Linked DNA regions of Mytilus edulis. The protein of the gene in region 1 interacts with the protein of each later gene in a biochemical or structural test. Links are inferred from orthologs where the notes say so. Each region holds a gene or a part of one and is shown on either strand. Other genes may lie near its edges.

Region 1 (15,929 bases):
AAACAGCATGCTTTATTCTTTTATTATTGACATAAGATTCTATTCTGTAAATAAGTAAACAAATCCAATAAATACGTTCCAATGGATATTTATTATACAGAAAAACATAACATCATATAGATCAAAGTACAATTCTGAAAGTTAAAACTATATACATACAAACCATTTAAATTTCACCCTTCCACATTAGCTATATCATTATGGCAAGTGTTTATTGATAGAAGAAGCTTAGAATTAACTTGCACCCTATGGCACGAAATCCCTAACCAAAACCTTATGGATATCCTTTGATTTAAAACAACAATAATTTTGATAGGACCTAAAGAAATGATCTTTTCGGCATTTTTGTATTTTTAAGCATAAGTGTTCATAAGTGTCTAATTAATTGCATTCCTGTAGGTTATATTCTACCTTTAAAGCAGGTTATTTTTATACTTTTTATTATTTTTAAAACTTCATACTTCTTTTTTTTCATGCTTAAATGCTTTAATAAGTTATCAAATAAAAGTTTTCTCAAATAAAAATAAACAATTAAATTGGGAATTCAAAAATTAACCAATTAAAGTTTCTCCTAAAGCAGGAATGTGTTCAGTCCATAAATTATAAATGCAATTACCTTAAAACTTTATCTACATTAACATCCACAGTTAAATAATAATGAGGAATTGTCTGTTTGGACTGCACTAATCTCTTTGCTATCACCTTTCTCATGTTGGTCAGAGGTATATCTACGAAAGCTCCCTCTGGTGCTGATATTGGAACAGATGTAGGCACGGCTGATGGTGAGAAGTTGAGTACATCATCTGCCCTGATTTCTCCTCCTGGACCAGTGCCTGCTACTTGCTATGTTTAAAACATATCATGTAATTTTATAAATTGTATGAGATAATCACTACAAGATAGGTTTCCTAAAATTAATAACTAGCTGTTTAAACTTTTTTTTTAAGCAACATTTGTTGTCCAATCAAAGGATACTGACACAGCAGTAATAATGATTTTTTCACCTATTTTATATAAAAAAAAATAGGTTGAAATTGTGTTTATAAATGAAATAAAAATATACATGAATATTTAATACTAAAACGATCCATGAAATACTAAAGTACATGTTGTTGTCCCTAATATATACAATATAACAAGAAAAATCACTAGAAATTGAAATATCTGTTACTTAAAAGCTTCATACAATCAGCACAGTATGTTAACATATTAATACAAATAAATAGTTCTCTATCAGTCAGGGGACTTACTGCAATAAGTGATTTTTAAATCACTTATTTGAATAGCAAATTCGAGGTTTTGTTACAAATTGGGATTTTGTAGTTTTTTTCAAAATTTCAAAAACATAGGTTTAAATATTATCTTTAAATTAGTTAAATAAAAAAAAAAAGAACTTTTTGCTTCTTTTAAGTAGCAAGGTTTATGACTTTGATGCTATCATTTATCTGAAAATTCTATTTTAGTTGTAAAAATTCTATAATAATGGCTTTACATAATGAACTGATACTTTCTTAAAAGATTTTTCCCAGCAGTGTCAGGGGTATATTTCCTGTGAAGTTCAAGGTTTCATCTTTCAGATTATGTAATAAAATTCTACTGTTCACGATAAAATTTCACTGTTTGGGGGTGTTGAAATTAGTAGGGGTTATTAAAAGAATGATACTTAAAGAAGTGATTTTTGGGAAGAAAATTGAGGTCTGATACTTAAACAAGTGATTTTTATGTCATTATCCTAGACAACACAGATTTTGGTTCTGATAAGTTTAGAAATTAGTACCTGGATCATTAGTATTCTATATTTAGAACAATAATAAAATTAAATCACTTCTTCTAGTGATTAATTTGTACTACTTAAATAGGTTATTATTAAAGAAAGACAACTCTAACTTCCAACCTTTATGGAAATAATGTTACTTGAATCAGTGATTTAGAAAATCACTTATTTAAGTAAGTCCCCTGATTGTCTATAAATACTAACACTAAGATCAATGCCCTTATCAGCTGCCAACTTCTTTGCATATGGTGAGGCTATCGCTTTGCCACCAGATGGAGGCACTGACAAAGATGCTGCAGGAGGACGGGCTGCCTTTGATGGTGCTGGTGTTGGTGGTGGAGCCACTGCCGCTGGGGATGGTTTAGGAGGGGGTGGAGGCGGAGGTGCAGCAGGCTCAGAAGCATCACTGTTAGGAAGTTGGTCATCAGCTGCTGTTGGCTGGTAATCTTTGAATGCTGTAACATCTTCTTCATTTTCTACTATTATACAGAGTAACTGTAACAAAAAAAATCATTAGCATTGTTATTTGTATATTAATTTTGTTCTTACCTTTAAGACAGAAAGGGCTGATAAAAATATGCATGGGATGGGACAAAGTGAAGGCACTTTAATATCTCAACTTACAGCTGTCAACTTAGGAGGAGTGTCAAGTACAGTGTTAATGTAAGTGAAATCTAAATTTGTTAACTTTTTTTTATAAATGCATACTCTTCACTTTTAACATTTTACATTTATTTGACGGTTTTATTTTTCTATATGAAGTGTATGTGTGTTCCTTCCTAATAATAAATCTGGGTCAGTAAATAAGATTATAATTCATTGTGTTTACATCTTAGTTGGCTTCTTTCATTATCTGTCATTTACCAATGAAAAATGTTTATATGTTTTTGATTAAATTTTGTTGCATATTTTGATGAAATAAGACAACCCTTCTGTGTAGGTGAGAGCTCAAAACAAGGATTTGTTAGCCAAAACCTGAAATGCATACCTTAAAAAAAATATGCTGTTTTATTATTATTTTTAAACATCTTTAATCTTTTCTCATTGAGTTTTTTTTTTTTTTGTAACTATATAGGATAGAGAATGGAAACAGGAAAATGGTCAGAGACAACAACAAAGACTTAGAGTAGAAAACAGCTATGGGCCATGAATTGTTCTTCGATTGCAGGAGAAAGTCCATATATATTATAGTATGCATTATATATATATGTCTATAGCTAGTACCAATTTAAGACTACAAGTTCATTTTCTAAAATCAAAAAGTTTTAATACATAAATTTTTGTTCCCAGGAAAATATGGAATTCAGAAGTCAGCTTAGAATGCTCAGGACTCACTTCACCTATGAAATTTATCAATTTCTTTTACTTCAATTGACTGTATCAATATTCTCCTACCTTCCCAATGGGAACATCTTTAGACCCTGCTGGATGAAATATCTTGGCCAGGTAACCCTCCTCAGATGATTCAAACCCCATAGTGGCCTTATCCGTTTCTATTTCTGCTAATAAATCTCCCTCAGCAACCTTGTCTCCTTCCTTTTTCTGCCAGGAATTTATAGTCCCCATTTCCATGGTCGGGGATAAGGCTGGTAACGAAACCTTGGTGTGTGCTGGTAAATCGGCTACAAAATAAACCAGATAAATTCATTTGCTTTCTTCCGTGACCTTTTCCTTTGTAGAACAAATTTAGAAACTTCGTATTAAGTCTCTTTTTTAGTAAATAGTTTGGTATGTGCACTGAATAACAATCTAATGTTTCCTTTAGGTTCAAATCAAATTACTTTCTGGAGTTACTCCCCTTAATTTCTATTTTTTTAAATTTTATAATAGGCATCTTATATTAGCAATTGTTCTTTGGACTTTGGAGGAATAGTCTAATGGATATGCATACTTCCTCTTACATATTTATTGTATTAAAGTAATTTAAAGATCAAATGAAAAGCATCTTAATAGCTCATATATCAAAATAATAAATAAAATAACAACATTTCAATTTAATTTTAATCAAATTCAAAATGATAAGTGAAATTATTCATAAAATTGGTGGTAAATCCGTTTTTAGCCTTGATCACTATCCATAGACATTTTCTGTTTATTTTATTATAACTTTCCACAAATTCAACCATTCAAAACATGTAAATTTGAAGGAAAGCAAAGTGACACATTATGTCACATAATCATGACAATCAATTTTAACTGATACATTGTCATGATTGTAGGTGCTATAGAAGAAAAAATCAAGATTGATACATTTTCAAAATAGAAAAGCTTTCTGCCACTAGTTGCCATAAGTTTAATCATTGTTTTCAGTATCAAAAAATGTGTCAGAGAAAAATTTCAACTAACATGTTATATTGAAAACACTTATATGAACCAAGAAGAAAACACACATTTATGCACCAAGTAAAAAATAAATGATAGTGTATTTGCTATAAAATGTAAGAACATCATACCTGAACTATAACATCGGTAGTTCTGGACCAATCTGTGAACCTGTAAAAGCTGCTGCACATCTTTGGTTGTGTTGCTACAAAACAGACAAAAAATATGGAAAAAGTAAAAATATGAAGAAGCAAATTATTTTTTTATGTTGGTTTATCATCAGCAAGAATTTTCCTTCAATTATTTTTGTTTATGCGAAAATAAAATAGTGTGTAGTTCCAGTTACATCTGGTAACATAAACAAAAATAATTTCCAAATTAAATTAATATAGATACACCAAGTTTTACTACTTTCATGGCACTACCATATCAGCTGTTTATTTTAAATGTCTATAAATAGCCAGAAATAGTTGTCTGTTACTTAGGTGTTTTCCAAAGTATTTTTCCCGCCTAAAATGATCATGTGACATGTTTGTAAACAAAAGACAACATTTCATCAAGGAATTCATTTATTTTCTGGATTATTCTGCTTTTAATAATTTAGTTTGGATTTTTATTCATTTCATTTAAGGTACAGTCAAGCATTTGTATTTAAAAATAGTTTGCAAAGAATTTTTACTTTTCACTTTGACAAATGTCTCATGATCGACATTCATTGGCTTGTTCAACCATGCAAACAATGTATATTATGTAAATTAGATATCTATCAGCTGTCAAAAATATTGATCTAAGCAATCGATGTTTTGAAATCGTTTTCCGGTTTAGTTTCTTGTCAAAACAATGTCATATCATAATCTTCTAGGCAAAACGATGTTTCTGGGACTTGGGGGATACAATCAGGACGCGTGATTAGTATCTGTATTCACTTTTCAATCTATTGCAGTTTGCTAATCAGCTGATTACGAAATCGATTACAAAATGGCGTCCTAGTGAACTTTTGTTTACGTTTGAAGGGAAATAACTCGAGCGGTATTCATAAAATATGTCTTTCAGTACCGTAAAGGTATGGCGTCAGGAATTTCGACAAAACTAGGGCAGGGCGCCAAATTTTTTTCCCAAAAAGGGCAGGGCGTCGAGAAATCGCGGCAGGGCGCCATTACACACCAAAACCACCTGTAGGAAACACTATCTTAATTTCTCATAATAGTTAATTGTCCTGCATTTCATCAAGGATTTGTATAGTAAGATTTCATTAAAAAGTAAACTGAGACTAATTCAAATAAAATTGAGAATGGAAATGGGTAATGTGCCAAAGAGACATCCCAACCAGTCAGCCTGGATATTGTTTTAATAATGACTTCATGGTTCAGCAAGCAAGCAAACCAAAGATATTACCTCTATCTACACACTCAATGAAATGGTCTGTAAAGTGATTTTTACTCAAGGTCTAAAGGTAATTCTCAGAAATATCTTGCATCGTTTGGAGAAAAATAAATTCAGCTAAATACTAACCATCTATATATATAGCTAACAGTGCAATTAAGTCTTTTATGGTCATATGTTCTTGTTTCATAAATCATGATCAGGTTTTAAAATATCCATCACGCCTGGGAACAGTATATTTAACAGGAAATGAATAAAATAGGCTTTTTAGAATAAAATATTGATGAAATCTCTGACTCCATGAGACTTAACGAGATTTATGGATTATATATACATGTATGTGTCTAACTGAAAACTACAAATGTATCTGAACTGCTCAATGAACATGATGAATCTACCTAATTCTAATCGTAAATAAATACAAGTTTTTTTTCATAAAGTTGATATATTTTGTCATATAAAATGACCAAAAAATCTGATTAATATTTGTGGAAAGTATTTATAATGTTATTCAATTTCAACACCATTTTTTTATTTTTTGCATTCTGTACCATTTTGCATGTTCAGAGATAAGTTACAAGTTTGATACACTGGCATCACTTTAAAACTAGTTTGAAGACATTTTATTAATATCTTGTCAATAAATATGTTACTGATCACGCTGACGCTGTGTCAATGTCAATATACACCTTATCACTATTTGTCCACCATTACTGGATATCACACGGGTTTCCTTTAAATTTTGAGGTCATAATACAAAATATCTGACGACACAATGGAAAAGTGATTGTTGTATGCATCAAAAGTTCAAGGGGCCAGGTCAGACAGGATATAAGCATTGTAAATGTTATTGTGTCAATGTGATGCTCTTTTATGCAGGACCTTCATGACCTTGTATGTATTTTTTTTAATAATGACAGACAAATTTGTGTACAACCGTAAACAAGTTTATACAATTGTCATAAGAGTCAAAATCCTTTTCAAGAGAAGATAAATAATTATTCTAGTGGAACCAGCTTTTGACGACACTGTAGTGCGCACATCAAGCGTAGAAACTTTAAATCTGCTCTCACGCCCCGTCAATAAATCGGCAGCGCTCTCATACCGTTATATGAAAGCCAGTATTGGTATCGACAACGTACTCATACAGATAATAAAATAATATAACAGATCATCAGATTTCATCATGAAAGCCGAATGTGAAACATTTCTTGTCTGTACCTTGATTTTAAATAAAACTGATTATTTTTGGTAGCAAGTGTTCTTAGATTGTTGCTGTGTTTTCTTTGTAGTCTAAGCAATACACGTGCAAGTCGTGTTGGACGAAACATTTTGAAATTTGTTGTCTGCAACTTGTTGTCCAATGTCAGCAGCAATGTCACAGGTAGTTTCGTACATATTATTTGATTATTTGTTTCCGTTTTGTTTTCAAATAGATCAATTATAAATTTAGAATGAAATTAAGGGTTTAAAATGAGAAATTATTATATTTTTCTGTGAGTTTGCATATATATCCGAAACTAATTTTAAGTTTAATATCTCGCGTGAGTTCATTTCCATGGTGTTTTGTTTACAAATGTCTGCCTCCATCTATTAGTTCACAGATTTTATAATTTACTATTCAACAGATTACCTGACACAGACATGCCTGCAGGTATAACATTGACCATAGGAAAAGAATTTTTTTTTTTTATTGTTTTTAAAAATTGAAATGTAAAATGACCATAAATTGATAATGGGGGTCTCATTGACATTGGGGAAAAGGGGAGGGGGATCGGAGACTGATCCAAGATCGCCCTTATATTGTTTTATGACAATCCTGTATCCTGCTAGTTGCCATAATATGAGGCAGGCATAACCTATAAAAGGTTGAAGTCTGTATGTAATATTTTACTAGACTTATAGATATATAATTTAGTGTGTACATCCATTGTGATTTTTGTGGTCCCCATGTTCGATGTACATACACATTTTTAAATGATCTTTATGAACTTAACTGCTTTCTGTAAATCATTTTTAAGTTAATATGAGGCAGGCATTACCTGTGAACATGGTGAATGGGGACGAAGTCTGTATTATTATTTTTTTTAATTCAAACATGTTGATAAAAGAAATGGAAATACAGTAACGTTTCCGATATTGGTTCTGTTGGTAGGTATTTAGTTGTGACGTTATTTAAGTTATGACGTCATATTCAATGTAAACAAACAAACGCTGTTATAATAAAAGGTAACGTCTTTTTGATATCAAACAATTATTAAAAATGATTAAGTGTTAAATTCCTTCCTATATTTGTTGATATGTTGAAGGACGCCTCCGGGTGCGGGAATTTCTCGCTACATTGAAGACCTGTTGGTGACCCTCTGCTGTTGTTTTTTATTTGGTCGGGTTGTTGTCTCTTTGACACATTCCCCATTTCCATTCTCAATTTTATGATACATGTAAATATACATTTTTTTCAAAGTCTCATGCAAACAAGACCGGAAACGGATGTAGATCTGAAAAAAAAGTTAACGATTTTGAGTTCATTAGTAGAATGAAAAATTCAGGACATTTTCTCGATTTTTTTTTTTTTTTTTTTTTATTGATTTTTCTACCGTAATTGGGGACTTCGTCCCCATATAAAATACATAGATAATATATTATTATTTAATAATCAATGTTTAAAAGTCACCAATATGTGCTAATATTAAAATTTCAAGTGTTATTCAGTCATTACAAGTGTTATTCCGATAATAACAGTGTTATTCGGTCATTCGTGTTACCCTATATTTTACTATATACATGTATATATATTCTCATGACAAACAAGACCGAAAGAAGGAAGTAGATTTCTGCGCAGATGCAGGAAAATAAAAAAGTCTGATTTTTTAAAACAAATTTGAGTAAATAAATAGAATGATATTTTTGCGGGAATTTTTTTTAAATTTAAAATACAAGTTTTTTTTTCTATTATTTTCTTCTTTAATAGGGGGTCCCCTTTCTAGCTCATAAATGTAATTTCCTTTGTCATGCTGGACTTTGTTTCCTGTTTTTACACTTAATTATTTGACTTTCACATGTCATGCTTAAAAATAATCGACCAATCTTGTGTAAAAAAAGTCAGAAATATGACAGTTGTTGTCCATTTGTTTGATGTGTTTTATCATTTGATTTTGCCGTTTGATTTAAGGATTAGGGACTTTCCATTTTGAATTTTCCTCAGAGTTCATTATTTTTGTGATTTTACTTTTTATTTCTTAAAATATTGATCATGTTGATACAAAGCAAAATGTTTCTAAAAAGAATTAGAGACATCAAAAGACCATTCAATTTATAGCTCCTATTTTTAAATGAGTTCTTCTATTTAATGTACACAAAACATAAGGTGACTTTTTCTGAGCAAAAGAGGAATCAAATTACGTCTATTATGCTAATGTAACTTATTAACTATTTTATAAGAAATAAACAAATTGTAAAACCCTTAATTATTAAGTATATTTATATTTAAATTCAAGGGAGTTGTGATAATAAACTGTTAGTTTACAGAACTCTGTGTACATTTTAACATCAATGATCTTCACATCTCATTTGCGTGGTGTTATAATTACCATAACTTATAATATTGTAATGAATCACATTGTGTTTTTTATTGTAGCAGCAATTAGTTCTGTTATACTGCTCACATAATTGATAACTCTTTTAATTTAAAATCTATAAAACTCTTAAGCACAATATATTATCAATTAAAATGACTACTACATTTCCTCAGCTAATATTACATGTATTAACTTCATTTGTTTATCATTTTAAAATCACATTTTATATTTAATTCAACTTCTTAACTGAAATATATTCAAACTTAAACATCTAGATCTTACACAAAGACTTTGTATTTGTAGAAATATATTGTCAACTATTAAATTAGTGAAATGTTTCAACCATACCATTGAATTTAAGAAACTTTTGAGACTACTGTAAACCAACTTATTTTCGCGGATACTTTTTTTCGCGTTTTACCCTTTCATGACCACTTCGCAGCTATTTAATTTCGCGATTTTCTAATTGACTTGATGAAGTTTAAAAAGGAATTATCCAAGCTTTCCATATTCACTACGATTTAAATTCGCGTTATTTTTTTACTCGCGAAAGTCGCGAAAATAAGTTGGTTTACAGTATTGCCTGCATCAATTGTTTTTCAATACAACACATATAAGTTTTAATTTGATGAAAGTTTTCACTTTTTTTATAATTCATTTTGTCCACTGTCATTTACTTGGCCCATTATACTCTATAACCATCAATTGGATTTATGTTTTACTTTGTTTTTATACATTAAGGTTAACATAAAAATGATAGCTTAAAAATTTAGAGCCAAGTATTAAAATGAAAAAAGAAATATATAGCCTACAGCATGTGCAGTGAAGCAATTAAAGATAAAAAAAAATCCATCGATGTTAAATTTAAGTTATTCACTTGCTTAATTTCTTTTATTAAATTTTCTGAGAAAACACTTATCATAAGAACAACAAAAAGGTTTTATTTGTAAAAAAGTTTAGGAGATGATGTACATGTATGGTATGAGACATATATGCACCGAAGTTCAAATGAAGTGGATGTAACCAATTAAAGGCTACCATACAGCCTATAACATTGAAAAAAACCATATTGTAAAGTCTGCTATAAAAGGACCTGAAATGAAAAAATATGAAACAATTCAATTGAGAAAAGTAATGGCCTATTTATAACAAAACAATTTATGAAAAACAAATATGACAGACATGAATCAATGACCACCACTACAGTCTTCATGCTGAGTGGCAACCCAGGCAGCCTAGGCTTGTAAAATTGCTCTCGGGCCTGTAAAAATCATATCCTCAGGCCAACAGAATCTAACTAAAAATTTTCAAAAATTGAGCTCTGGGCCTGTAGATCTAGCAGTTCATCGTGAAGACTGCCACTAAACTACAGGTTCTTTGGACAGGGACATAAAGAATGTGGAGGGGTTGAACATATCTGTTGGTGCTTAGCCCCCCTCTAAACTGGGACAGTGATGAAAGAGCACAACAAAAGAAGAAACTGTAACATTCAGTTCAATGAACAAGATTGAAACTTTTCACCATGATTGTCTCTTGGTAAAGAAGTAAAAACAAATCTTAAATTTTAAAAATATTTCAGAAAATCAAATAGTTGAAGGTAATTTGTCGTGTTTGTGTGAATCTAAATATGAATAAAAATGTTGTTGTAAAATGTGTTTTATTGTTGTGAAACTACTTCTCAGAAATTATTTAAAATGAAATTGTATTCTTATTTTTTGCATTGTTTTCACATTGCATTTGAAAACCACAGTAAAATTCTGTATCCACCTGTTTGACATGACGTAATTTCATAGAAGTAGTTTCCAGCAACTCAAATCAACTAACACTATATGTGAATGTTTGTGATTAAAGCTTTTTGTATTACATTTTAAAGACATAACCAAACAATAAAAAAAACAAACAAAATAAATATTGCTGAAACAAGCCATTTTTGCTCTGCCTTAATATGAGTATTGTTTTCCAGTATTTATTTCAAGAATCTGAAACAGTCTGAGGAAATTTACCATTTGATTAAACCAAGCTGTAATTTGTGTTTTTATATAAGATGTATGGTGGTTGGTGGATGTCCAATTGGTCTTGATTTATGTATCAAATTAAAGATTATGTTTCATATGTATTGTGTGTATGCACTATGACTTTGAAATAGAAAATAATAGCATAGGCAGATTCAGGAGGGGGGGGCTTTCATGGAAAAAATTTGATATTTGATTATATAGGGAATCACTGAAGCATGACTGGAGCAGGCCCCCGCTTATGAAAAGTTCTGGATCCATCCGCCACTGAAAAGCCCTTTTTAAACATATTTAAATAAATTGAGAGCAATATTTCTTTTAAAGTTTACTCCAATAATTATCAGTACATTGTAAAGATTAACAAAGACAAACTACATATCGTCGCTGTTATGCAAAAACCTCGTATCTCAATTTTTTGCGGAAATCTTTTTATCGAAGATTTAGAATTAAATATGTATGTTCCACTGTATGCGAGAATATCTGATCTTCTAACCAATCATTAACCCGAATTCTGACATGTGACGAAATAGTGTAGTCGGATTGGTGAGACATTTTGTTGTGTGAAAATATCGTATCTCAAAAGAAAAACACTTTGCACAGCAGCTGACATTATTACAGTTACAGTTTTATCAATTTTAGGTTCTCAAAGCTAATATATTAGCTTAAAAATAATGAAAATACAATATAGGTGCAGAAATTTTGCTCGTCTTGGTAATTGATTGGTTAGAAGATCAGATATTTTCGCATACAGCGGAACATACATATTAAATTCTAAATAATCGATAAAAAGATTTCAGTTTTTTCTGCCTGGTGTAAAATTATCAAAACGTTAGATATGAGGTTTTTGCATAACAGCGACGATATATACATGTATATAATGATAACTTTGATTTTTGTTTATTTAAATATATGTGATTGATTATGTTGATATGGTATACAAAATTCTCAATAAAAATAATAGCATTTTGTTTGAAATCCAATCTGCAATATAGTATATATCATACCACAGATTCACAAATTATCTCCCCTTATTACACCTCCATATTGTTATCCTCAAACAAATCACAATAGTCCAGTCAATCTAGCACAAATTTAACCCTAACCTTGAAGTAATTGAACAGAAGATTTTTAAGTTTTAATCTTTAGCATTATACCCCAAATATATACACAGAAAAAAGTCCCCTAAAATATAACTTGAGGAAAACCAAAAAATAATGATTTTAAAATTCCTATGGAGATTTGCATTGTTATGGGAGATAACTCTGCAAAAAAGACATAAATATCAATAAAAATTGATATAAAATTATAACTTTACCGCTTCTGTTCAACAGAATGTATTGATTCTATATATTTAAGACGTCTTTATAGTATAACAAACAACTTTAAAGGTGTTTTCATATCTTATCTCAAGTCATAATTCATTAGTTGACCATTTATTAGATTTTTTCCGCATGTCAAGGTAAAGAATCTCAAATTGAATAAAACCAATTAAGCATATATATTCTTCTTTTTGTGGTTTAAAGATTTTTTAAACAAAATAAATATTCACATTATTTTTTCAAAATGGTCACAAAGCCATAAATTTGCAATTTCTTTAAAGAAAAATGTGCCAAAAAAATTAGAAATACCCATAACACTTCAGTTTTGTACATTTCATTAGCAGAAAATTAACTAATGAAGACAAATACAAACTTATAACCCCATCATAGTATCATATTTTACACGAATTTTAAGAAAATCAACCAAAAACTGACCCAAAAAAATCATTTTTGCAGAGTTATTTTCCTTTCCAATGTTAATTTCCATAAGAAATTAAAAATGTAAAATTTGAGTTTTCCTCAAGTATGATTTTATGGGACTTTATTCTGAGTATATTTGGGTACTAATATTTCTTTAGATTAGAACTAAAAAAAAATCTGTTGCAAACTTTGTTTGACTGGACTTAACCCAAAATATAAATGTTGACCTACATTACAGTATATTCACATGTGTATGGCATTAGTAAATTCATCCCTTATCATTATAAATTGTTTCTCAACTCTTTCCTCTTCAGGTCACAATTCACAAATTTCTGATTTTTGAATGTGCTTCACATATATATAACTCTTTAATACCAAGCCTGAGGTTAATTTTTTGCATTGATACTAATGTAGAATTTTGTGTATTTTCAAGGTATACAGGGCTGATAGTATTAAACACAACTCTCAATAAAATAAATTACTCAAATTTTAGTTTACAGTAATGTTCAATGATGATGGTTACTGTTAATTTTAGTCATGTTTTTTATTGTTTCAAAATTATCTTAAAAAAATCAAAACTTGCATTTTAAAATTTTGTTTACACTATTTAAACATAGTGCAGCTGTATCACATGAAATTAAAGTATCAAATGAACCAGAATTTTTTTAATTAAAAAAATATAACCAGTGCAGTCAAGATTACAGTATTTAGTACATGTATATCATGGCTCACTAGTTATCTCCCTTCAGAAGATTTCAAACATTATTTTAGATAAAAGGATCCTATAATTACAAAATCTTATGCACATCTCATAAATGGCTTATGGTTTAAATTATAAAAAATAATGTTATCTAAAATTTTCAATTTGTGTTTATATTTTTTCAGACAAGAAGGACAAGAAAAAGGAAGAGGCAACTCCTACTGTGCTGAAAGGAGTCTATGTTTTCCCAAATGGAGATAAATATGGTAAGAATACTTTTTGCAAGCAAAGAAGTTGTGTAAATTTGTAAAGAGAAGTTGACCAATCAGACCAAAAATTATAAAGGGGCAGTCATGCGCATGATAAGTCTTAAGCAGAGAAATATAAACCTGTTCCCTGTCCCCTACTTACATGTACCATAAGCATATTTATATATTTTATAGACATATTTGGTTAAGCACTATAAAGTCCATAGCTTTCCCATTATTGTCTTATGTAGAATTCCCATGGAAAAAAGAAAGTGTAAAGACACCAACAAAAGTACATGTGTACACAAACAATTCAAAGAAACTAATTTTTACACTATTTAGCAGCAAATTTCAGTAAACATTTGTTATAATTCATTGGAAAATAAATTGCAGAGGCGTATTTAGAGAGTTTTTCAGGGGGCCCTGGCCCCCCTTTTGTGAATTTTTTTTTGTTGATTATAGGGAATGCCTGGAGCGGGCCCTCTTAGGTGGTCAGTGGGGCCAAAGATAAAAATTTCTGGATCCGCCACTGAATTAAGTAAAACATTGAAGAATAAAAAAACACTTAATACAAATGTATATCAAATGAAATAGATGTTTTTTCTCATGACATTATTGTTGCTATCAGTTTTTTTTGGGTTTTTTTTTAAAGTTTTTGTCTGAATGAATTTTATATTCTTGAACTCTTTCTCTAACTTAAGAAGGAGATTAGATTTTAGATCAAGTGAATAATTGGTCAAATAAAATAAAAATAACAGTACTTTGTTTACGATCTCTTTACATTAATATTTTCAGAAGGAGATTATTTACATGGGACGGATGGATCAATGGACAGATCAGGTATGGGAATCCATGTCACTACTGATGGTACAATGTATGAAGGAGAATGGAACCAGGATAAAATGAATGGACAGGGAACCCTGACACATCCTACTGGTGCTAAGTATGAAGGACAGTTTGTAAACAACCAGTTTCATGGTTTAGGAACATATACCTGGCCTAACAATTCAGCTTACACAGGACAGTTTGTTGAAAACAGGTAAACAATAAGATTCATTTTCATAAGCCAAGGTCATAATTAAATTTAATTTATTTAATGTGTCTTCACCTACACTTGTCTTAGAGTAAATGCTGGAACAAACTTTCTCCAATTTATACACTTAATAATAATTGAAGAGTCCAATTAGTTATTAACGGTACTAGGCTTATAATTTAATACACCAGACGCATGTTTCATCTTCATAAGACTCATCAGTGACGCTCAGATCAAAATAGTTATAAAGTATAAAGTTGAAGAGCATTGAGGACCCAAAATTCCAAAAAGATGTGATAAATAGGGCTTAGGTACTCTATTCCTGGGATAAGAAAATCCTTAGTCTTTTGAAAAACTTCATACTTTTGTATACAGGAAATTTTTTAAAGTGACCATATAATTGATATTCATGTCAACACCCAAGTGCTAACTACTGGGCTGGTGATACTCCTGGGACTTAAACTTATAAATTAAAACACTACATTTTATTTTTATAAATATCTTTGATGCATTGCATTTGTGATTTTTAATAAATCACTGACTCCTCTATAAAATTTAGGCAAGTATTTCATATTACTCAGTATTGCCCAGTATTACCCAATAAACCCCAGTTTTTCCCAAGTATTTTCTAAATGGCTGGACAAAAGTCAGAAAACCTAGTTTTTGCCAACTAATTAATTAGATTTATCAACAACAAAAATAAAATCAGGAAGCGTTTCTATTCTAAATGAGAAATTATTATTGGCTTTATGGCTATATATTTCATGTAAACTTTTAAAGGTATTATGTTCAATATCATTCAAATATTTGAAATCATTGGAAAGGTTAGTCAAATTTCTATTGGTTAGTTATGAAAGGTCCTTTAGTAGATGTCAATACATGTTAGCCTATTTGATGAAGAGGACTTTTCAAATATAAACTGTGATTTGTCTTGATGAATGATTATGGATATCAACTCTTCAAATAAATGACAGCTATAATGTGTTTTAACTGCAAATCCATGTTATTCTTTCAGAAAGTTAATTTAGTAACACAATTTATTATTTAATTTTACCTAATTCATAGTTGCTTATGCTTTCCCTAACATGTGTTTTGTTTGATTGCAGTTCATCATCAGTCTACCGTATTCATTTATAACAT
Region 2 (16,183 bases), on another chromosome or scaffold:
ACAATTTCAATAGATGATATAAAAATGTACAAAACTTAAAAGTTAACAGCCACAGAAATGTTTGTTTGTATACTAGTTTGTCTGGTTACTAGAGCCTTCTCGTATAATAGCTTACCTGCCCTGCTGACATATAAAATGTTTTAGCTGCTGAGTTGATCACCTGAAATTTAAAAGTATATAAATCTGATCACATTGATTATACAGATGAGGGAAACTTGCTTTTCCTGAATCCATTTTGACACACAATGATGTATAAATTTAATTAGCAGTAGTTCTATATTAAAAAAACAATTATTATTCTATTGATCCTGTATAGGAAGGATTTTAACTAGACTGAGCCATAATTCAATTCTATAGCTTAAATATACTTCATTCAAACAATAAATCTTTGAATTGAATTGTTATCATTTGTCAATAACTCAGAATAACTTCAAATTCAACATCATGTAACGAAAAATTATCTAAAGTTATCAACAGTGCTTTTTTTTGTTTTATGCATTTTTGTTTTTTGTTTTAAAAAAACCTAAATATTTTGAAATGAGGTACAAGATAAAATAAGAATAATTTTTCAGTTATTAAGCATAAGATTAATTATAGGTTTTCAAGTGTAACTGTTTATATTAAAATACAGATAATTATTGTTAAAAATAACAGAAGAAAATAAAATTAAAGAATATACCATACCTGATCTATTGCTTGCATGGAGAAATTAAATGTCATGAATTCACATATTGGTTTCAAGCCTGCCTGAAAAAAAAAAATTACATCTACAGTTAGATGGTAAATAAAGTGATCTTGATTTTATGTATTATTATAGTCATTCAAATTGCTTATTTTGTAACCATTTAAATTCTGTGCATTTGTGTTTATTTCCAATTATATTGTACTAGAAAGGAATAATTCTTGCTACTATAAAATGTAAACGCTCATCAGAATGCTCATAGGTGTATTACAAAATAAACAGGACAAACAGCTACTGTTACTTTCCAGATAATGCTTAATCCAATGTAGTGATAAGAATAAAGGCATGCTGTAAACTTTAAGGTTCCCAACTAATTTACACGTTAATGCTACTATCAAGTTTAAAAATCAACTAATTTATTTTATGTACAATGATCAAATTGTTCATACAGATTAAGATGGGTTGCTTCCCCTGAATAAATGTCAATATGGACCGTTGTAGCATTTAAATATTACAGACTTAACATGAGGGGAGTTATCTCATATATTTGAACTAATAATAAATTCAAGATGTATGATTTATTTAGTTTATAAATATTACCATAGCTGCTCCTACTGCAATACCAGCAAAACCCATCTGCAAAACAAAATGTCAGAAAATTTCTAGATGAAATAATACAACAAACAATATAGAGGCATGAAGATACAGTTACATACTGTCTATTTAAATAATCCTGAAACATCAATAAAGGTAGAAATTAACATTTCACAAAGCTGCTATTTTTAAATCTCAACTTGTGACATTGAGGTTGTTATTTTGAAAATCAAATATGCAAGAATAATATAATAATGTTGGGTTTGTCAATTATCTAATCCCATTGTAATTACTTCAAAATCTAGAAATTCAAGACCCCAAACAATTTACATATAATTGGATAGTAAAATAAAGTTCCTTTGAAAAACTGAAAATTATGAAACACAAAATAATTAACTTTCCCCATTTGTGAAACTTCTATTTTCTGATTTACAGTAACTGATAATTGCAGTATAAAAGTAAAATTTAATCAGTGGATTAATAATTTGAATTTGAAACAAGAAATATAGATTCCTACACTGCAACAAGTGTATTACAATATATCTCCACTCGAGACAAGTTAAATTTTATTATTTAAAGCGTGAGGCTTGCCGAGCATTTTAAATAATTAAATTTAACTGTCGAGAATAGAAAAATATCGTAATACACGAGTTATAGTGTCAGAATCTGTTTCTCTAATGACTTTAATCATTCTTTTTCAAAGATTTTCAGAAACTTGTGTTCTTTATATGCGACGTCATCAGGCAAGGTCGCCTTTTTTCCTGACATCACAATAGGAAAATTGAAAAGAAAACAAAACATTATGACGTCATATAAATCAAATTTCGACTAATCATTTGCTGATTTTTCACTAGTGAGGAAAAATATTTTTCTCACACCAGTCAGGAAATGAGAAAATAGCACAAAAATTAGAGAAACAACAATTTTATTATTAAGAGATTGGTGAATGAATTTCGTATTTCAATTAAAAGAAATGAATGCAAACTTTAATTATGTGATAATTTTAAAACATTTTGTTACATTTTCCCACATTAAAACTTTAACAACAAATTTTAGAATTTACAATACATCATTCTGAGTTTCTTAATTATCTCCCCTTACATGGAAAAAGTATGAAAAAAAACACCAAAAAAACATTTAAATATTTCTCTGAGACAGCAATTCTGGTATTTGTGTGCACTTTATCTGTGTTAAGTTTGACTTATAATAAAGCCTGTCATAATTAAAGTTTTGGCTAGGTGAGCTTAAATTTGTTTTTAAATTTAACAAACCTCAGTAATAGGAGTATCTATTACTCTCTTGTCTCCATATGTCTTGTGTAATCCTCTGCTAACCTGTAATCATAAAAGAAAATTTCAGAGAAAAAAAATATCTTCTTTATATCACATTTACATAAACAAAAGAACCAGTAGTAGAAGACAGCTATGAGAGATGAAATCTGCTGAATTTTGTTTCGCTCTAGAAATTACAGGATAAAATATTTAGGTACACATGCTTTTTGATAAAATAAGTTATGTTTGATAATCTAGAGCTTCAAGTTTGGTTGTTTTCCATCTACTACTAACATCAGATACATTTATTGCATATACAACAAATAAATGTAAAATAAATCAAAACTTTTTTTCTTTTCTTTTGGTTTATGATGATGGCAGTTTTTCATTTTTGGATAAATTCACTAGTTTTAACAGGTTTGTACATCGTAACATTGAGGCGTAGAACATAAAGCTTTAATAACTGGAACATAGAAGAACATTTAAGTAGCCGTGTAGATATTTACAGCTAAGGCCATTATCCTGCTAATAATCTTTTCTTTCACATGTTTTACAAAGAAGTTCTCAACATTACAAGAAAGTTTCTATTTAATATTATAACACTATAGAATTTATTCCAATTATCCATAATAATATTGATGAAGGATAACTGTTCAATCAGGAACAACAAGGACTTTTCAAGGAAAAATTAAAGCATTTAATTTATATATCATTGTATTTTGAATTAGCAAGTTTTCAATGGTTCAAACTGATTTCAATTTTGTGAGAATATATTAAGAACCTTGTAGGCACCATCATACAATGCAACTTCCTCTCCCAATAGAAAAACTTTATCATCTCTTTTGATTTCTTCATCTATAGCAGCATTCAAGGCATCCCTGACAGTTAACTGTAAAAACAATCATTTAGATTTATTTGTAATTGAATGTGCTAAAATTAGATATTATTAATTAAAATTTTGGCACAGACAAAGGTCAGTCAATGACAGGCAAACATTGGATGTGAACTGAATGATAACTTAGTTTTAGATAGATGATTTTTTTAATAGTTATTATTGGCTTTCAAATAGCTTTCAGTAACGCCAATTACTCTCAAATCTTTTGTTTGAGTGACAACGTCTTTATTCTTTTGTGCTTTGTATTATTCTAATGAGTTAAAGCTCTTTTCAACTGATTTTTATAGTAATGTTGAGCTGCGTCACCACTGTCCAAGATTAGCGGTGTGGGTTAGGGCTTACAAACATGTTAGGAGTCTGTAATTTGGTGGTTGTCTTTTGTTGCTGTACATTTGTATATCCTATTTCTTTTTGTTCATGGTTTTGTTAATAAAAAAGTAACCCCTGCTAAACATATGTGGTAAAAAGGAAGCTGATGTGTGATGGATGTAAGACCACTGCTGGGTTTATTTTCTAATTTGGATTTAAAATATACTATTCTACCACTCTTCTGACACGCTTAGCCACAGACCCAGCAGCCCAGACATGTAAAATTGCTTTGACTTTGAGGTCCGTAAAAATCATCTCTACAAGTTAAGCTAACAGAATCTAACTGAACTTTCCCAAATTTGAGCTCTGTGCCTGCTGATTTAAAAGTTTTTCATGAAGACTGTTCTACACAAATGACTTAATGTAAATTTACCTGAGATCCAGCTCTAACTGTCGTTGTGGAAAACTGTTTATTGAAACTTTTCAATGGCACTTTCTGTAATTGTAAATCAAAATGCTCAGACCCAAATTAAAATACTGTTTATTTTTTTCAAAGCCAACCTACACAATGGTCCTTTGGCCAAAAAATATACACTTTTGCATGTTAAAAAAATTCAGAAAAATTTTACGCTGATACATTTTTGTATATATACATGAGGTAATTTGAACATGCAATTGCATGATGATAGGTTTATGATTTTCAATGTTTGACAAGTTCTACACTCAATTTGCATACATCTTCTTATAAAAAATTTGAGAAATCACTCCAGCAGAAATTGGATTTGTAGTCAAATAAGAAAGCTCTCAAAACTTACTTTTTGAATGATTTTTTTGCAATGCAATAAAATACTTAAGGTTTTGCATAAAACTTGGTGTCAGTTTGTGCAGGAAACAAGCATATATATGTAAGTATAATTGGAAAAGACAGATAATGAAATTCACAGTAGAGTGTCATTTCACAAATTGCCAAAATTTGCCATTTCCCAGTAAGAAGACGAAATAATTTCATGAATTTACAGTTGGCCTACTTGGAAGCCTGCTACAAAAGGTTCTGATAACAGAAATAAGCATGTCATACATCTTTTTGTTGATTATTTCATGTCCATGTAGATTTTTCATAGAGAAGTGCATGTTGTTATGGTACAGCCATCTGTGGCATCAGAAGTTTCTCATGTATAAATGCTGTATATTACACAAAACAATCTGGATATTGCATAATTTTTTTTATCGTACAAGTTTTCATCTGTACCACTTTGTAGTGTTACAAGTTGACCTTTCGTTGTAAGAGTTATCTAAAGCTTATTACCAATGGACCAATCCCCTTTTCAAAAAAGATATGGTACTAATGCATTTTTATGAGGGTAGTAATGGGGTACCTTCATGACGAATAATGGTAAAAATTCTTGCCAATTGATGTTAACGATAATTTTTGGTGCATGACGGTAATATGTACTTTTATTTCAGGGATTGAACTTGAGACTTTGGTAATTGTAGCCCACAGCTTAAATTTTGTAGCCCTGATATACAGTCCTATACAAGATAAGCAGAAATTTAAGTAGCCCACACCAAATATTAGGGCCATTGGCGAGCAGGCCCCTGCTAATTTCAAACCCTGTAATTAGACGATAAAAAAAATCGAATGATTTTGACGAATCACATTTATTGATTCCAAAAATAATGGCAATGATAATTATTTGGGACCTCTGACAAATCACGATAAGGATATTTTGACGAATCACAGTAAAATTTTAATCCATTTGACGCTAACAGTAGTCGAAAATGACTATTTGACACCTAACATTAAATAATGTGCCCTTGAATCAAAGCTAGGACATAATAAATTAAGTGAGTAATCATAGTTTTGTTACGATAATACAGACAGCATGTTAATTAGCTTTTGAATCATAAATGTAACTGTTTAAACTGATTACAGTGAGCATGTAAAAACAATTATAAATGTTGTAACTGTAAGTGTTACAGCAAGCAGTATAATGCATAAAGTTGCCGTCAGCTGAAATTTGTAGCGGTTATCGGTAAAAATAATCTAAACTATCAACCACGTTTACTCATGATATAGTTTTTCACATTCCATTCATGAATCGCCAAAAGAAAAACCACTACTGACCTACCTTTTAAGTGATTGCACTGTGATAATCCTGACCTTCACATTTTCCAAGACGATTTTGAATGGTGGAATCAGGCATTGTTTTACAGGAATTGTTTCTGTGGAGTTCAAGTTCTGAAAATTTGCATAAAGCGCGGGAAATGTTGTCACATCAATGAAATGAATATTACAGGAAACTCCGAAAGTGACGAATTTCACATGTAATCAAAGGATTATCCTCATAGAACGAAGATGGCGGAATTACAATGAAAAACATTCTGGAAAATGTGAAGGTCAGGATTATTACAGTGTGATCACTTATAAGGTAGGTCAGTAGTGGTTTTTCTTTTGACGATTTATTACAATTACAATATTTTTTTTATTTTCCAAATTAAAGGGCCCATTAAGAGCATAACATTAATTACAACATGACATAAACATTACAGAGTGATTAAAGAAACATAAAATAATAATTGAAATTCAAATGCATGAAGAAAGGATCAGTGGTCAAGGGGAGATAATTATGATATATTTTAGAGTATTTAACTAATTTTCTGATTTTCTTAGTTGCAGGCCTTTATCCAGGTATGCACATAAAATAGATAAAAATCAGCTATCTTCATTAATCATGATCCATGAAAAAAGATCATTTATATTTAAACTATCTAAACTGGGGTATTTTTTTATATAATCAGTGATATCTCTTCTGAGGTTATTGTAAATTGGGCATTCCAGAAGAAAGTGCATTTCATTTTCAATACAATTTGTATTACAATATAAACATATCCTCTCATGTCGAGGTAATATTTCATATTTACCACATACATTGGTAATTCGTTCATGTCTGCCAGTTTCTATTCTTAAACAGTGATTGCTAAGTCTGTATTTTGTTAACAAATGTTTTTGTGGGTGCTTTAAATCTAAATAATTTTCATAGTCAAATGACCTTTTGAATGAAAAATAAGTGTCCAATTTGCCTTGATTCTGTAAATAAAAATCTCGCATTTTCTCCCAATCATTTTGAAAATTTAATTTGAGCTGTTTTTTCAATACAGTGGAGTCCCCGGTGTCCGCGCGGCCCGTGTTATCGCGCATTAGCTGATTTCGTCATATCAACACAGTAACACATACAAAATCGTTCTTGTTAATGTTTTAGCCTTCCGAAGGGATAAAAAAGAATAAAATTGATAAGTTCAAGAATTAATTAATAACTGAAATCCTGTGATTTACCATATTTGGCCAATTTCCATTAAAAAAATTACATCATCAGATAAAATTGGTTTTATTTAATTCAAATTAATATCAGATTGAAATAATTTTTGCTCTGCATCCTTGGAAGTGTGTTTGGTACAAACTCAGCTATATTTTGTAGTGTAAAATCTTTCCTTTATTCCAAATAAGCTATTTTTGGAAGGCATGTGCGAAATCACCGGACATTGGAGGAACTCTCAGAACAGGGGTTTCCTTAATTTTGGACACACATTACACAAAATCTAGAGGATGAAACCATACAAACAGAAGATTTTATGAAATAAAAGTATATTATGAATGTGTTCACACAAAATTATCCAATTATTGGTTTTATCAGTTGAATGAAGTGAAGTCATAAGTCTTATGTGTGCGGATACACCGGACTGCACTGTAAGTTTTTAAATTAATTTTTTCCTAGATTTTTACATATATTTAGGTCAATATCCAATTTTTCACTGTAGAAAATGATATTAGAGAGCCATGAATTATTGGAACTAGTTTGACCTTTACTTTCCATCATTTTTTTACTCAGCATAAGCATTTTTCAATAAATTAGATGGAAATTTCTCTAGTCTATGCCAATACATAAACATATGTGTTAGCAAATTTATATAAAGAGGATATCTACGAGTGAACGCGATTGATAGTTTAGATTTTTTTTTACCAATAACTGCTACAAATTTCAGCTGATGGCAACTATAGTTACAGATCTTTTCTATCAGTATCATCACACATGATCAATCTATTTCATCTGACTATTTTTCACATTTTATCAACACTAGAGTGTGGTATTTCATTTTGTGTTTAGTAGAAACGGTCGGAAAAGTGTCAAAGTGAAAATAACGACGAGTTCACTGTAAATGTATGTTTCTGAAAACACCCAGACACCTTCAGAATGAAACCAACAAGTATCTTCCCTGACCGAAATGTTTGATCAATTTTTCTAGCATTTCGTCAGCCCAAGATACATTTTCTACTCATTAAACATACTCGCACAATTCGTTGAACTACAGCGGATGCCATATTGGATCACAGTAACCTTCACGCGATGTTCCACTGAAGAAAAAAAATCTGGATTCGTCTAAATACCTAACCAGAATATTTTCAACCGTTGTTTTCCACCAATCTCCCATCGCTCATCGAAGAGCTATCAGCCGATAGAGGGCGCATAATATAAAATACAGTCAGCCTAGTTTGATATTCTATAATTAAATAATTTATGGGAAGACTGCAGCATGATTTTATGTTTCTGCCCCCTTTTAAATTTCCAAAATATGGTCTCTTACCCTTGATAATTAAGCTTTTCCCAGATTTAAATGAAATGAAGATATAACTGAGGGTTTGGATGGGGTTAAATGTTGTAAAATGATTAAAGAATAATGCCCTTAAAAAATGAAGATTTTTTTAGCTAGAGAATAACCGGCAAAAAAATTGAAGATTAGAGACAAAAGGCGTTAATTTTTTGAAGATTAGAGAAAAAAGGGTTTAATTTTTTAAAGATTAGAGAAATAAGGGGTGAAAATTTAATGTTTACAGAATAACAGACCCCCCCCCCCCCCCCCCCCCCCCCCCCACATCTAGACCCGCATGACTACAAAAAAACTGCTATATTGAAAAAAGTAGATTTTTGGATAAAACCGTGTGTTACTGTTAGAGTGGGGTGCTCATTTTCGCCGGGGACACAATTTCGCCGTTTAAGGATTTTGAGGTGTAAAACCTTCAAAGGATGGCTGAAATGGAAGAAATGTACCCGTAAATTATATTTTTATAACAAATATAATATTTTTTTAAACTGAGACAAAATTGCGGGTCCTACCGAAAATGACCGAAAAAACGGACAACGATTTTCTGACAATTTCCTGAATAAAAAACGATTTCAAAGAAGTATTTCTAAGTAAATATTTGACTGAATGCCCTAATTTTGAATTTTTTATACCTTTGAAATGTCTGCTATTCATCTATAATGCAATTGATTTGATAAAAATTGTTAAAAGCTGCGGTTATTTGGTTTTAAATAGATGTGTAAAAACGGCGAATATGTGTCCCCCATTGACAAAACATCCGGAAATTTCAAACACCCTTTAATCTAACTTTTCAGATGATTTTCTTAAAACAAACCGGTTTTCAAGCTTAAGTATATTTTGCATTTGAAGTTATCTTCATATAGAAATATCAGTATACTTCAAAAACATTTAGACCTGAACATAAACTGTAGAAAACATGGAAAGATGTGGCGAAAATGAGCACCCCACTCTAGATCTACATTTACGCAATTCATGGTCACCAATTTGACTCAAATTTTCATATTTTATTTATAACAATGCAAAACATTTATCCAAACTATCAAAAGTGTGAAATAAACAGTTTACAGAGCATATGGTAACATAAATATTGTTATGTTTATCTTTTTAATACTGGTTAATGAAATCATTACAGTGTACTGGCTGGTCATTATCGCGTATGATACGATTTTGACACGCCTACATAGCTAATAAATATTCATGACTTTATAGACAAAGAACAGCACGTGTAGCCATAAATACTGGGAGTTGTAGATTTGTAGTATAACTGTACATATGTAGTTTTGAAGAATATAGAATATTTACAAAAATATAGTTATTAATTATTAGTATCCGAGCAAGTAAAACACGGATCTATCAATATACTAATGATTAGATATAAATATATTAAGCCAACACGTGCAGTTGGATTTTTATAGGTCTGTTTAATTTTATTTTATAGGATAAAAATGTATGTTTCTCCTCGTTTTTTAATGTAGAAGAAAGATTGTTAGTGGATCGAATCAGTCATCAAATGATTTGCATTTGTTTCACTTTCAATGTTGACATTCCTTTCCTTCAAATAAACAGTACATGTACAAAGCATGCGTTGTCCATCTCTAGTCAAGGGGTTAAATTGAAGTTCACATGAATACGGATTTAATGAGGTCGACTCAGTAATTATTCACTTGCAAGTGAATACTTCATTATCAATATTATTAAGCTTAATTTGACCAAGGAGGTTATCTATAATACTAAAATTACGAGGTCCAATTTGTCAGCCATCATCACGTAAAAACGACGAATCAAAGAATTCAACTTTATATATAACTAATATAGTACAAAGGTGTAGATTAAAAATTACACCACTCCAAGCCCTTTTGTTTTCCACGTAATTAATATTGCCAATAATTAAGAAGTTCCGGGTCGAATCCGATACCGATACCAATACCAATAGTATATTCACCTGTTACCGATTACCTTATCTGTACGTTCCACATCTGACAGGCGCACCACCAAACGGTGTATTCAGGATTAATATGCACATATAGTAATTACACGGGTCATAATCACAGGGTTGACACTACTTAATTGTCAAATTTTATTTATAACTAATATAGGACAATGCTGTTGATTAAAAAATACTCCATTCCAGGACCTTTTGTTTTCCAAATAATTAATATTATCAATAATTGATAAGTTCCAGTTCGACGGGTTCAAACAGAAAGATTTAAAAGCAGAGAAAACTGTGTATCTTATAATCGGCATGACTTTATCAGATGACAATACTAATACTAAAATAAGGCTTGCGCATAGTTATATACTTTAATTCAGTCACGGACCCGCGATATCACGGGTGTGTTCTAGTATGTTCTAATATAACCTCCTAGATTTGACAAAATTGTTCCATTTTGACTGCTAAAAGAGAATTATTTTATTATTTCACTTTTATTATTGATTGAACAAAAACAAATCATACTTTAGATTTTTATACATCTCGTAGCTAGTGTCCCTTTAAAAATTGTGAAAGTAATCAACTAATGTCTAGTCGAGATTCACGTTGATAGTAAACATGCATATTTAAAGTAAAAATATGGTATATTAGTATATATATGGTACAAATAAGTGATATATTAAAAAATCTGAGATTTATGATAATAAGGGGGATGGAATATGGGGTGCTCATAACAGGATCCTGTCCTCAAGCAACTATGGTTGAAACTGGGGGAAACAGTGTTATCATTTTCAGACTCAAGATACTTTATGATCGTAACGATATTTTTCATATTATTGTTACACTTCCATGTAACCATAGCCAGTGCCAAGAACAAATCTATCAAATTCAAAATTCAAAATCAAAATTCATCACATGGAGGTAGAAAATATACATACAGCCAGTCTATCATATTTGACGTCACAAATTCATTCCCGTGCATGAATGGTATATTTGAAGGAACTTCCTCAATCCTCAATCGTATGGCCTTTAGGCATAACGGTTCTAATTGATACATATTAAAACCTACGTGGATTCTCCTTGTAATTTTCTCCATGTACTTTAATTTTGTTCTTGCTGTTACGATTGGGGTTGCAGATGTTCTGGTAAGTCAAAACGTCCGTGTTTTTATTTGCAATAAAGTCCCGGAAACGATTTCTAACTTCCGTTTATATTTTCCTGTGCTTTCTTGGTCTACTGACTAAATCTTGCTAGTAGGGTGGCTGTGTTTATATTGCGTATTCCTATTTCCTATGTTATTTGTCGGTTAATAACTTATGCTTCGTTCACGCGTACATTTAATTCGAATTGAATGCGAATCGAATTCGCTAATCGCGTTCACACACTCTTCTTTTTGAATTCGAATTGATTCGAATTGACTAATTCCAATTCGCATTAGAAATACGCTTTTGTTAATACGAATAAAAAGTTAACGTCGTTTGGACAGTAAAGCGAATTCGACGCGCATTGTAATATAAATTAGAATTGACGTTAGGACGTAATGCGAATTAAACTAATTCGAATTAGTTAATGCGAATCGAATTCGAATAACGTGTGAACTCAGCATTAAGGGGACGACCATTTGATATTCTAGGGGTGGGTGGGGAGGATTTTGAAAATAAATAACTCAGCCTTGATAATCACAAAAATAAATGGTTTGTTCTGTGGTAGTTTGAAAATAAATTACCTGACTTGCAATGTATTGAAAATAAATAAGTCAACAGGTCTAGTCGAAAGTATGAGTTGGCACCAGATTCATCATAAATTCATCTTTTTTAAAAAAAAAATCGCCTTCGTCAAACACTGCCTAAATTGTTTAATAATAAAAGTATAAATATTATTTAAATATACTTGAAATGTCTGTAAATTGGCTTCATTTAACTTGAGGTATGTTTTCTCAGCAACACTTTAATACCTCACTTTTAACAGGGCCGTAACTACATTTTGTACATTAAGGCAAATGCCTCATGTAGAAAATTTCAAAACCAAACGCTTGTCTCCATATCAAATTGTTTTCACGTCGAGTGCCTTGCAAGAAGCAAGTTCTGTTATCCCTAAAACGTAGCCCCTGATTTTTCAGGATCAATGTTTCTTATTTATTTGTCTTTTGTTCATTGATTGCCCTTCTGTATTCTGTTAGTGTTGCATTCCTTTTGTTATATAGTAATTTTGTTATTAACTTGATCATGAGTTTAAAAAACAGAAGCCTTCAGTGGCTCAAAAACCCTTTAAAAAAAAATTGCCTCGCTCCGCTCGGCCTATAATGTTTTGCCAATACTTTTTAAATAGGCTAGATACACTCAATCTTCAATATAGTGTCTGGAAGCAATACATGTATATGCAGTTGGGAATATAGAAGATTCATTTCTGCAGAGGAGAATGATTAATTCTGATTAAATGGTACATCATGATGACTTAACTATACATGTATTATTTATAATTTATAAACAAATAATTTAAAAATTGGATGTTTTCGAATATTATAAATATAGTTGTAAAAATAAATAATCAGTCCCTTGCTTTAATGAAAATAAAAAATCTTGCTTCAATAGTGCAGAAAATAGATAACATGTCCTCTTAGTTTACAAAAATAAATAACCGATCAAAAACAAATCCTCCTGCCCCTCCACCCCCACCCCCCCCCCCCCAGAATATCAAATGGTCGTCCCCTAACTTGCTAAGATTAAGTTGAAATATCATTTCCCGGTGACAAGATAATATAAAACCTAAACTACTCAACGAACTGGCCACAGAAATAGCCCCAATCCTTACAATCATTTTCAAAACATCAACAGAACTGGGGATGTACCAAATGACTGGAGAAATGCGAACATAACACCAGTATTCAAGAATGGAGAAAGATATAAAGCAGAAAACTATATACTAATCTCTCTAACTTGTATCTGCTGCAAACTAATAGAGCATATAGTTACAAGTCATATAATGAAACATGCTGATCAACATCAAATCCTCTATCCGTTACAACATGGTTTCCGTAGTAAACGCTCGTGTGAAACCCAACTAATCGAATTCGTGGATGACATCACTAAAAATATGAGTGCAGGTAAACAGACAGATGTTCTTATAATGGATTTCTCAAAGGCATTTATCAAAGTCGATCATAGTCTCACAAACTAGAACATTACGGTATCGGTGGTAAAACCAATAGATGGATTGCTAGCTTCTGATCCCATCGAACGCAAGCAGTAGTAGTGGATGGAGAGAGCTCATAACATATTGATGTAGAATCTGGAGTTCCCCAAGGCTCTGTACTTGGTCCTGCATTATTCTTGTTCTACATCAACGACATGCCAGATGGGATCAAATCCTGCTGGTGAAACAATAGCATATCTTACCATCTCATCTGACAAAGATTCAAACGACCCCCAGAGCGACCTAGACAAACTGGGAACATGGAAAGTCAAATGGAAAATGTCCTTCCATCCGGACAAATGCAATGTTCTTACCATCAGCCGCAAAAACAACACCATTCCAACTTCGTACATATTGCATGGTCACAAACTTGAACCTGTCAAAAGTGCTAAATACCTTGGTTGCACCTTCACATCCGAACTGAAGTGGAATGATCATATCAATAACATATGCAATAAAGCCAATAAGACAATAGGCTCCCTTAAGAGAAATCTAAACATAGGAGCAACCTCAGTCAAAGAAAATGCATACAAAAGCCTCGCAATACCAGTAATAGAGTATGCAAGTCAAGTATGGGACCCATACTTTAAAACCGAAATAGATCGTCTAGAAATGATCCAGAGACGAGCAGCAAGATATGTTTCCAACATACACCATAATCACTCAAGTATCAGCAAAATGATTGAGCACCTGGATTAATTGACCATCTCTGGAAAAAAAGGCGAAAAGACGCTAGGCTAAATATGCTCTATAAAATAGAACACAACAAAGTGGCTGTAACTAAGGAAGGTCGTTTTATGCAACCAACACGACTGTCGAGGAACATGCACGACAAAAGTGTCTAAATATTTCAAACATCATAATGACTAAATTTTTGTTTGATTACAAACCATATAGTAAATTGTGAAACAAGTCAGAGCACAAAGATTTAGTATTAATTTTACTCTAGCGTTCAGCTACATGCTGCTTGAATTCGAAAAGTGACTTCTTCTACAACATAAAAATGCAACAGAGATGAGGTATTGTACTCAGTATTGTTGGCACTTTATAAACGCATTTTGACTAAATTAAAACTCTGATAAATCCATGTATATGCATCGAAAAGTTTACTGATGCCATATGAGTAAAAGATAAAGTCAAAGTCCAAATTCCCTTGAAGTTCTAAGGCTTTATTTATAGACGAAATCAGTATACAGAAAACATTAGCTCTAAAGCTATTGAGCTTTTATACCGTCTTATAATTACAAACAAAACATTTAAAACAAAACAAGCATGCTACACACACAAGACTGAGCTACACACACAAGACTGATCTACACACAAAAATAATCATTACATTGAAGCATACATTACGATATAGATGACACGAATAAATTAAATATGTTAAACTATGCAGAACTATTAAAAGTACATGCATAAACAATCAATAATGCCAACATACAAAGCACTTTAAAACACATTAGCAATTATAGCAATCTAATTAAAAACCGATCTCTCATCGATCCTGTTTCTGATATGTCGCGTGGGAGATCTAACGAAACCGGCTTTGAGGTCACATGTGAGTGAACTAAAAGTTATGAATTTATAAAGATATGCAAATGAGTTGACGACCTATTAATAAGCCAATCAAAAAAGTTTATGAATTATTTTGACTGACGATTTCGTCGTAAATAAAATGAGTTACATCCCTTTGCCTTACGTTAAACTTCCAAGATCGTGGAAGACTCAATTCCATTGGTCGAAAAAGACACACCTACGAGGTCACTCACATGTGACCTCAAAGCGGGTTTCGTTAGATCTCCCACGCGACATATCAGAAACAGGAGCGATGAGATATCGGTTTTTAATTAGATTGCAATTATAGCACATCAAGCAGAAAAAAAGCACTAAAAAGTATAGCATTAATAATGTGCGGGTATTGCATCGACATAAGGTACCACTTTAGGCGACAATAAATTTAGAAAATTGTTTAATTTTTTTTTATCTCTAAAACTTGGGGTAGTTCATTCCAAATTTTGCAGCTATGTATCTAAACGAATTGAAGCCATGTATATAGCTGTTGTTCTCCGTGACCTGGGGCTGTTCAACTGTTTTTTTTATTAACCAAATCATTTGAATATGATGGACTCTTTTTGTGTATAATTTAAAAAAAATCTATATAGCTATTGCTCGTAATATTCTGACCGTAAGAGATGAAAGTTTTGACTTGTGTAGAAAATCTTCATATTTTACCATATTCACCCGGGAGAGGGAACTGGTCGAAATGTAGTTGGGATCAAGATTTTTTTTTCTGTAAGTGGAACTTGAAGAGGGGTTCAATTTTATCTCTAATGAACTTTTGAATTATATGAAGAGGGTGGTAAAGGGTTATTTTCGTGCAACGTGATCGCCGTTTTTTTATGTCACGTTCAACGTGTTTTACTTTTTTATTTGACGTTCAGTCGTGCAAGACGGGTGCCTCGTTCAACGTGTTCTGCTTATTTAATTTTACGTGCATCGTGATTTTCAAAGTCTTATTTTGCGTGCTCGGTATTTTTCAAATAAAATTCAAACACTTGGCAGGGATCGTCAAGAAATGTTTATACTAAATCGGGAATATCAACGTTCAAAGTGAAATTATGTCTTATTTCACGTTTTTTTTTCGTGCAAGC

What was found.
Region 2: the proteins of dihydrolipoyllysine-residue acetyltransferase component of pyruvate dehydrogenase complex-like (region 1) and pyruvate dehydrogenase E1 component subunit beta, mitochondrial-like form a complex in vitro, tested with the Homo sapiens proteins (2 studies listed by BioGRID and IntAct, with this or other methods). The link is inferred for Mytilus edulis from reciprocal best matches to the Homo sapiens genes DLAT and PDHB.

What each region holds. Positions count from the first base shown.
Region 1 is NC_092355.1:10,356,543-10,372,471, forward strand, and holds the start of dihydrolipoyllysine-residue acetyltransferase component of pyruvate dehydrogenase complex-like, read right to left. Parts: upstream 6,871-15,929; 5' UTR 6,811-6,870; coding exon 6,701-6,810; intron 4,302-6,700; coding exon 4,228-4,301; intron 3,397-4,227; coding exon 3,170-3,396; intron 2,270-3,169; coding exon 1,979-2,269; intron 844-1,978; coding exon 617-843; intron 1-616. Other genes in the region: MORN repeat-containing protein 2-like, read left to right, coding at 7,124-7,133, 10,637-10,654, 13,694-13,774, 14,552-14,795.
Region 2 is NC_092344.1:86,487,953-86,504,135, reverse strand, and holds the start of pyruvate dehydrogenase E1 component subunit beta, mitochondrial-like, read right to left. Parts: upstream 8,223-16,183; 5' UTR 8,130-8,222; coding exon 8,097-8,129; intron 4,248-8,096; coding exon 4,185-4,247; intron 3,437-4,184; coding exon 3,329-3,436; intron 2,611-3,328; coding exon 2,548-2,610; intron 1,319-2,547; coding exon 1,283-1,318; intron 748-1,282; coding exon 685-747; intron 161-684; coding exon 116-160; intron 1-115. UniProt on the Homo sapiens protein: The pyruvate dehydrogenase complex catalyzes the overall conversion of pyruvate to acetyl-CoA and CO(2), and thereby links the glycolytic pathway to the tricarboxylic cycle.